Macaca mulatta: one gene and its partner. The protein of the gene in region 2 interacts with the protein of the main gene of each other region in a pairwise test. Links are inferred from orthologs where the notes say so. Each region holds a gene or a part of one and is shown on either strand. Other genes may lie near its edges.

Region 1 (4,658 bases), on a different chromosome or scaffold from region 2:
ACAGAGCAAGACTCCGTCTCAAAAAAAAAGAAAAAGAAAAAAAAAAGGAACCAAACAGATGAGGAAACAGAGGCCAAGAGGGGTTACCCATCCAGGAAGGGGTAGCGCCAGGATTCCAACATAAACAACCAAGCCATGGCACTCATGTTGTCTTATCTGTCGATCAGCATTACTGGGCATTGGTATGAATGGTCATTTTTAGACTAGGTCTTTGCAAGACAGATCAACTCCGTACTGCCAAACAAGAAAAATAAATATTACCCCAAATATACAGTTATAGTATCAGTATTAGCTAACATGAATAGAGTACTTGCCATGTGCCAGTGTTGTTCTGAGTGCCTAGGATATGTGACCTCATTTAATCCTCACAAATACCCTATGAAAGATTTCTACATCATTCTCATTTTACAGATAAGAAAACTGAGGCACAGATAAGTTCATAACTTGGCGGGGCACAGTAGCTCACTCCCGTAATCCTAGTACTTTGGGAGACTAAGTCAGGCAGATCGTTTGAGCTCAGGAGTTCAAGACCAGCCTGGCCAACATGGCGAGACCCTCTGTCTCTACCAAAAAACAAAACAAAATTAGTCAGGTATGGTGGCATGCACCTGTAGTCCCAGCTACTCAGGAGACTTGAGGTGGGAAGATCACCTGAGCCCATGGAGGCTGAGACTGCAGTGAGTCGAGATCACTCCACTGCACTACAGCCTGGATGACAGAGTAAGACCCCATCTCAAAAAAAAAAAAAAAAAAAAAAAGAAAAAGAAAAAGCAAAGTTCATAAACTACCAGGAAGAACAGGACTAAAGTTTAAGCTCAGGCTGCCTGGGTCCAACCATACCAGTCTGTTCTCTTAGCCACCTTGCTATAATGCCTCTCTGAATTTGATATTGTTATATGTAGTTTAATAGCTCAAAAGGCACTTTCAGGAACATATAAGATAAAGGCTATGACGTATAGGGTGCTGGGTGAGAGATGAAGGTGGGTGTCTGCTTTAGAATGGGGTTCAAGAAGGCCTTTCCAGATAGCGACATTCAGGCTGAGACTTGAAGGATGGGAAGGAGCCAGCCAGGTAGATTGCAGCAAAAAGCCCAGGCTAAGGAGGCAGAAAAGAATATGGAGCCTCAGGAAAACCAAAAGCAGGCCAGTGTGACTGAACGTTGGTGACAGGGAGGACATGGGAGGTACAGCCAGAGCCCTATAGCCAGGAGTGGGCAGTATAACCACAGTGCAGGAGAAAGTCATGGGGCAGGAACAAGCTCCACCAGCAGCTACCAGGTATCCTCCCTTTATCTGGACTCTGTGCCAAGAAGATCACAAGTAAAATTTCACTTCTTTCCAATGCAATAGTATAATTTTTTTTTTTTTTTTTTTGAGACAGTCTTACTCTGTCGCCTAGGCTGGAGTGCAGTGGCGTGACCTCAGCTCACTGCAACCTCCGCCTCCTGGGTTCAAGGGATTTCTCCCGCCTCAGCCTCCTGAATAGCTGGGATTAAAGGAGTGTGCTAGCTCGGCTAATTTTTGTACTTTTTGTAAAGACGGGGTTTCACCATGTTGGCCAGGCTGGTCTTGAATTGATCTCAGGTGAACAGCCCACCTTGGCATCCCAAAGTGCTGGGATTACAGGCGTGAGCCACCGCGCCCTACCAATACTATGGTTCTTATCATCTCCATTTTATAAAAACAGATTTTGTGCCTACAGAGCTGGAAAACAATTTTTTTTAATTGCCGCTGTGCTAATGGAATTCCTTCTACCTACTGTGAAATCATTTCCTTCTGTGTTTCTGTCTCAAAATTTAGGGAACTGTTCTGTGCGCCCTCCTCCCCAGGCAGCACTGCGGAGATTTCTTTGTCATAGTTTTGAATGACAATATGGATTAAGAATCCCCACCTTGGTGAGGAAAAAGGATAGAGACCGCAGAAGGTGAGAGAAGGCGAGGTAGAAGCGAGGAAGAGTTGGGGCAGGTAACACTCTGGACTAAACCCTCGAAGGGACCTTAATGACCCAGCGGGGGCCAGGGCAGTGAGGCTGCAGTGAGCTATGATCGTGACGTCTAAAGGCGATAGAACGGGGGTTAAAGTATAGGAGGACTAGGCTGTGATTTGCAGAAACAAAATGCATTCCCCAGTGGTGGGAACCAGGGAGGAACCCAGGAATTACTCCAACGCTGAGGGTGGAGCCGGGAATGCAACGAGGAGAGGGAAAGTGGGAGGGGCCATGGCTAAAGGGGCGGGACTTAGGGGACGAAGCCAGGGAGGGAACAGCCTGAGGGGACTGGCCAGGGACTGATAGTCGGGGCCACAGTTCTCAGGACGGGACTAGGGGAAACCCAGGAGGCCTGGAACTGGGGTAGACATGACGAGCAGCTTCTCACCCGGTTCTGCACCGTCTCCTCGGAGGCCGTCGAGAGTCGCGTCCGCCGCCGGAGGCAGAGCGGTGGGGCGGGCGGCGGGGAGGACTGACCCCTCCGCGCCGGAACTCCCGCCATGACAGAGGGCAGCTTCTCCCCTGCATCGTTCCGCGCACAGCCTCCGGACCCTACGGCCGCCATCGTCACGCCGGAGCCGGGCGACCGTTACATCCCTTAACCGCCGCCGCCGCCACCGCCACAACCCACTGAAACAGCAAACAGCCGCGGGAAAGCCGGCGCCGCCGCCTATTGGACACCACAGGCCCGGCCTGGCCAACCGCAGGGCTGCCGGGCGGCGCTTAGGGCCAATGGGAGCGAAGAGGCGGAGCGAGTGCCTGGCTGGGCGGCTAGTGTACTGGATACCTGATCAAGAGTCGTGGGGTCTTTCATCCAGACTCCGTTTTCATTATTCGCTGAAACATACAGGTTTTAACTTTTACGAGGCTAAGGCCCCAGCTGCCTCACCTCGGTTTTTGCCGCCACCCAGAGGAACTATATGCGCTCCGACGGTCGCCCGGATATAGGCGTAGGGTGGAGCCGTAAGAGATTGACTGGCCAGTTGATTTGGTTGGCGCAGGCTCAGAAACGACGTGACGCCGCCCCTCTCCCCAACACGTGATGAAAGTCGGGGTGGAGAAGGGCAGGCTTTGCGCAGGCGTACAGTTCTCGCTATAGCCAATTCGCTACGTGACGAGGGCGTGACTGTGGCACTGGAGGGGCGCCTAATAGCCAGGCGCTCTCAGCGCTCTCCCCGGCACGTGACGAGTCTCCACGGACGTCATGTGAGGCAGGCGGCGAGCGCGCGGGCGGGGCGGGGTTCGGCGGCGCTCCACGAGAACCAAAGTGCAGCTGCTGACCCGGCAAAACTCAACGGGGCTGGACAGCCATGCCTAAGTACTGCAGGGCGCCGAACTGCTCCAACACTGCGGGCAGCTTGGGCGCAGACAACCGCCCTGTGAGCTTCTACAAGTGAGCGCAGCGCGGGGCGGGGCTTGAGGGAGGCGGGACCCTGGGAGGGGCGGGGCCCGAGCTTTAGTGAAGCTGTGCGGGCCTTCTGGTCTCGCTTGAGGGTGTTAGGAAGTGGGGTTAAAACGTGAGGAGATGGCCTTCCCGGCAGTGTCCACTGCACCTGCAAAGGTGCTGGCGTGGGAAACATCAGGAGTAGACGATTAACTACAGGTAGCGAACGAAGCGAGACGAAGAGGGAAACGGATGTAAAAAGTGAAGTCGGTGCAGGCTCTGTAAGAGCCTACAGATGCCCACTTGCCCTCCCCACGCATTTGAGCCATCTGAAACTCAGAGCATCCGAAACTGAGCTTGTGATCGCGTCTCCCCCAAAACCTTCCAGTCTGTCCTTAGTAGTTCCCTGATTGCAGCCAGAGGGAGCCTGTGAACACCTGAGTCAGATCAGCTCCCTCCTCTGCCCAGATCCCTTCCCTGACTCCCACCTCACTGTAAAAAATAAAGTGAGGCTGCAGCAGGTAGAAAGCAGGCCTGCAAAGTCCTACAGAGCTGGTTCCCTGATACCAGTGTGACTTCATCTCTTTCCTCCTGCCCTTCACTCCAGTAACACTGGCCTACTTCATGTTCCTGTAGCATAGCAGGCATGTTACTGCCCTGCTATCTTTGCCTGGGCCATTCCCTCTGATTTCAAAGTTCTTGCCTTTATTACTACCACCCTATGGACAACTGTAACTGACACCGAAACACACACACGGTTCTCTCTGTCTTCTGCTTTATTTTTCCCTTTAACACATCACTGTCTGCATATCGCATTTTCGATGTATGCATTCCTTATCTCCCCCACTAGAATGTCACCTCAATCAAGCCAGAGGTTTTGTCTTTCTTTGTCTTTCTTGTTTCCTCTTGTTTGTGTCTCCAACCTCTAGAACAGTGCCTGGCACATAGTAGGTGCTTAGTAAAGATCTGTTGGGTGGATTTGATGAATGCATTTCAGATGGGCTCTCCAGGAAAGCCAGCAGTCCATGTCTCATGGATCCTTTGAGGGACCCTGGTATAGGGCCAAAGGGATTAGGGGGAACTTTAAGCCTGTATATGACTCTGGCAACTGTTGATTAATTCAGCAACTTTTTGAGTATTTCTTGGAGAAGCAAGTAAGCCCCTGCTGGACACAAAGAACCCTGACAGATCTTGTTTCTGCCATGACAGAGCTCATGGATAGGTGAGGGTCAAACATTGAGGAATTGAGTACGTGACCTGCGAGTTACCCATAATCCTTCCTTTTCAT
Region 2 (4,643 bases):
AAAAATGGCACCTTCCTAACCAAGTGTCAGGTATAACTACTGTATGTATGTAGACCAAAAATAGTTGCCCTATTGGCAAATCAATAGTCTTAAGAAGAAAAAAAATCTGGTCTCTGTTTTATGTCTCACGAAAACTGGTCTAGTCACTATTAACTGGTTTGTCTGGTCCTTTTCTTTATCCAGAAAATTAAAAATATTTTATCTTAGACACATTCAAGAATCCCCTCTAATGTTTATTCAGGGAACCAAATAAACAGATTTTAGTCTGTGAACAAATTAATGTTCTGGCACCCTGAAAATTAAATTACCAGGAAAATCAAAGCTGTCCAGAGAAGTCTATGCAAAAATAGTATTGTTTTTAACTCTGCAGGATCCTTTTGAAGAAAAATTTAAAAGTTAAATCAAGGAAAACATTAAATAGATTGGTGGTCATTCTTCCAGAAGAAGTTAAAAGCCAAAAGAGAATACTCAGAGCTGAGGGACTCAGGAAAGAATCCTTATCTAGGGAGAGATCTGGGTTCGGATTCCACTCACCAGCTGCTTGCTAAGAAGCAGACTACTCAAACTCCTGAGCTTCCGTTTCCACAGGGCTCCAGTTACAATCAAATGAGTATCTGGGCTGGCACCTGGGCAAACAGGGCCTGACTCTCCTGGCCTTAGGCTACCTTTCCTGCTCTCCTCACAGCTCCTCCCTCCCACACAGCCACTCCTGGAGGATGACAATCTGCAACCAAGCTGAATGAATCTGTATTTGGCTTGGCTCACAGCATTTAAAAAAAAAAAAAAATTAATTAGCTATTGCCAACATTTAAAAATCGGAACAAATGTGGAGTGCTGCCTTCTGTTTTAGAGACAGGGTCTTGCTCTGTCACCCAGGCTGGAGCACAGTGGTGCGATCATAGCTCACTGCAGGCTCAAAATCCTGGGCTCATGGGATCCTTCCACCTCAGACTCCCAAGTAGCTAGGACTACAGGTGGATGCCACCACACCTAGCTAATTTTCAAAAATTTTTTGTAGAGACAGGGATCTCACTGTTGCCCAGGCTGGTCTTGAACTCCTGGCCTGAAGTGATCCTCCCACATCAGCCTCCCAAAGTGTCTGAGATTACAGGCGTGAGCCATGGCACTAGTCAAATTCCACCTTCTTCTAGAAAACTGCTGGGTAAGGTTCCAGTTCTTCAGAGTCCCCACGACTCTGTGCCCTTACACCTGGCCCTCCAGACTGATTCTCAACTCCACAGTGGGCTATGGTCCTTACCTGGCCCTGCTCCTTCATACCTCTGCCTCTCCCTGCCTAGCAAATTTCTCATCACCCTCAAGGCCCCCCAGCATCACCTGTCACCTCCTCCACATTTCCATGGCATAGCCCCTCCACGACAGCAAGGGTTGCACAGTCCTGGAACTAAGTGTCTGCATGCCTGCCTTCTCTACTGGGCTCCTGGGCTCTCTTCGGAAAGGGACCCTGTTGCTATCTGCCTTGTGTCCCTAGGGCCTAGCAGAAAGCATGACCTAGATAATGCAGAATTCAGTAAATGTCTCCTGCATGTGTGGAAGAAAGCTAGAGCTAAACCATTATAAAAATGTGAGATTTTACATCACAGCTTGTTCCAACGGTTAGCAATTAAAGGGGTCAAGGACACCAAAATGTTTCACAAAATAGAACAAGCTTCCATCTGCTTACAAGTTTCACACGTTAATCAGAAGTCACTAAATTAACAGATAAAGCAGAGACAACAGGGAGACTGGGCCATTTCTTTGATCATTCATTCATTCATTGAGCTGATACTACTGAATACTTACTGTGTGCTTTCTAAGTACTGGGGATAAAGCAGTGGACAAATCAGACAGCTACCTGTTTTCACAAAGTTACATCCTAGTCGGGGAGACAGAAAATAAACAGGCAAATAAATAGAAACGTTTCAAACCAGGTAAGAGCTAGGAAGGAAATTTTTAAAATAATGAAATAGCATGACTAAGGGAAGAAAGAGGGTGGTCGAGGAGGGCCTCACCCAAACCGAGACATCTGGCCAGAGGAAGGAGCAGAAAGAGCTACTTGTGCCAAGATCACAGACAACTCCAAAGACGAGGAAACAGCAAATACAAAGGTCCTGGGGCAAATGCGGGCTGGCATGTTCAAGGCGGGCGAGATGAGTGGACTGGGGCAGCAGTCTTCTGGGAGAGGGGTGTGGTGGTAAGGGATGTGGGCTGGGTCCCCTCTGGCACTGCTGGACACTGAGTGTGCAATGACAAGGCAAGGGAGGCGTGCGTGGGGAGGCGGGAGGCTGGGCGGATGAGGAGGGGGTTCCTACACCACTCACACCGGCAAGGGCCAGCACCCTGCCCAATCTTCCACAAATGTTCACCGGCGTCCTGCCCAGGCGTCTGCATACACTCACACAGCCTGACAACAACCCTGTCCAGAAGAGGCATTTCCCCACCTTCCTGAAGGCAAAACCGCGGCAGAGCGAGGGTCAGTGCCTTGGTCAAGGTCGCGGGGACGCGACCCCGGGCCCCTGGGCCCCCGGCGCAGGAGTGCAGCTGTTCGCCCCACCTCCGCGAGGGATGGCGCCCGCAGACCCCACGGGCAGGTCGGCCGGGCCAGGCCGGGGAGCAGGCCCGCAGCCCGGAGCCGCTGACAGCCGGGCGGAAGGGGGCGCCTGCGGCATCCCCGAGCACAGGGGCGACGGCTGCGGCTGCCAGGGCCCCGCAGCCCCCGGCCCACCCCGAAACCCCGGCCGCGCGGTTCCCCCGCCGCCCCTCCCCGCGGGCCCGGCCCGAGCAGCCGCCGCCAGGCCTAGCCCGCCCGCCGGGCTCACCTCGCCTCCCCGCCGCCGCGCCACGGGGAGAGGGCGGGCGGGCGGACTGGCGGCGCTGCGTGCTAGTCACTCCTGGCTCCGCGGCCCCGGCTCCGCCACCGGCCCGCCCCGCCGCGCTCCGCCCCGCCGCCGCCGCCGCCGCAGTGGGTGTGAGGGGCGCCGGGGCGCTGCGACCCTTCCGGTCCCGCTCCCTTCTCTGCCGCTGCCGCCGCCGCGGCGCCCGGTCTGACCGACCCTCGGGCCGACCAATCAGCGCGCGGAGAGCGGAGCAGGCGCGGCCAATGGCGCCTGGGGGGCGGGCCGCTGGAGGTGGTGTGGGCGGGGCCGGGGGCCGGGTCGGGCGCCCGAGGTCCTGGGCCGGGGTTCCGTGGGTTCGACGCCCCCGGGCCTTTCAGTGGCGTCGGCCGACCGGCCATGGCGCTCGGTTGCGCGCCGCGCACGCGGTGAGCTGGAGACGCAGGCACTGCGCGTCCCACCAGCTGAGCCCGCTGTCCGCGCGAGGGGGCCGCAGCTCGGGGGAGAGGGTGGCCCGGAGGACCGGGAACCGGGCTGGAGGCGCGCGGGGCTCACACCGCGGGGTCCGCGGGGAGCCGGGCCTCGCCTACAGGTGCAGGCTCGTGGCGGCGAGGCGGCCTGGAGCAGCACGGGAGGCCGCCCGTTTCGGGGAGAGCCCGGGGCGATCGCGGGGAGAGGCCGGCCTGGCGTCCGGGAGCCCGGCGTGCTAGGGCCCGGGAGGCGGGGCTGGCCTTGTACTCGGTTGCTCGCTGCGGCGCCGCAGGAACGGGTCTGTGGGGGTGTGGGTGAGGCCAGAAGTCGGGTTGGAGAAGGGGAGGGGGTGCGAAGAGATGGCCGTGTGTAGACAGGTTACCCGATGGGTCGGTGACGCAGGAGGGGAGTGCGCTTGGTGGCGGGGTGACTTAGTTGACAACATTTAAAAATTGGGAGGTGCGGCAGGGCGCGGTGGCTCACGCCTGTAATCCCAGCACTTTGGGAGGTCGAGGCGGGTGGATCACCTGAGGTCAGGAGTTCGAGACCAGCCTGGCTAACCAGGTGAAATCTGTCCCTATTAAAAATACGAAACAATTAGCTGGGCGTGGTTGCGGGCGCCTGTAATCCTAGCTACTCGGGAGGCTGAGGTAGGAGAATCACTTAAACCCGAGAGGCGGAGGTTGCAGTGAGCCGAGATTGCACCATTGCACTCCAACCTGGGCGACAGAGTGAGACTCTGTCTCAGAAAAAAAAAAAAAGGGAGGTGCTCAGTCAAGTCTCTGAGAGGGGTGGGGGGCGGGGCGAGGAGTCCCTTGCTCAGGGCCCCCTAGGGACTGGGACCCGTTGACTCTTGAGTTGCTTTTGAGGCTGGATCAGGTACCAGCGGCCTGGGGGTCGTACAGGATGGGAGAGGCCGGGACTTGGGATGTTGCCAGATCTACGTTGAAAAGTGAAGCAGGAAGCGCGGCACGAGGCTATGCACATGGGGAAAACCGCGGAGAGCCGGGCTTTGGGGACTGGAAGAGTGGGAACAGTGGTTGACAAATGGTGAGTGGGGGGTAGAACAGCAGAAACACAATACCAGTATCCACGGAGTGGCCAGGGCCAGAGTTGGGAGAAGGAACAGGACTCTGCAGATGGGGAGGGCAAGGGGCTGGGTGGTGTGAAGGGTGGTTGCAGACTTTGGGGAGGGCAGCTAGCCTGTGACCCAGGTTCCAAGGGCACTGAGGGCTGGGCCAGGCCGCTTGGAGGCACCAGAGCCTCAGAGGAGGGGTGGGGTAGAGGAACGGATGCAGCATGGTGTCCTCCTTGGCCACCAGAGGGAGTTTGCTAAATCTC

Evidence for each region. The genes of interacting proteins can lie anywhere in the genome.
Region 1: the proteins of MAPK9 (region 2) and WDR62 interact in binary tests that used the Homo sapiens proteins (3 or more experiments, as listed by UniProt). The two-hybrid records come from large-scale screens. The link is inferred for Macaca mulatta from reciprocal best matches to the Homo sapiens genes MAPK9 and WDR62.

Annotation. Positions count from the first base shown.
Region 1 is NC_133424.1:47,310,909-47,315,566, reverse strand, and holds the start of WDR62 (WD repeat-containing protein 62), read right to left. Parts: upstream 2,996-4,658; 5' UTR 2,552-2,995; coding exon 2,375-2,551; intron 1-2,374. Other genes in the region: THAP8 (THAP domain-containing protein 8), read left to right, coding at 3,297-3,379. UniProt on the Homo sapiens protein: Required for cerebral cortical development. Plays a role in neuronal proliferation and migration.
Region 2 is NC_133411.1:189,305,294-189,309,936, forward strand, and holds the start of MAPK9 (mitogen-activated protein kinase 9), read right to left. Parts: upstream 3,021-4,643; 5' UTR 2,817-3,020; intron 1-2,816. UniProt on the Homo sapiens protein: Serine/threonine-protein kinase involved in various processes such as cell proliferation, differentiation, migration, transformation and programmed cell death.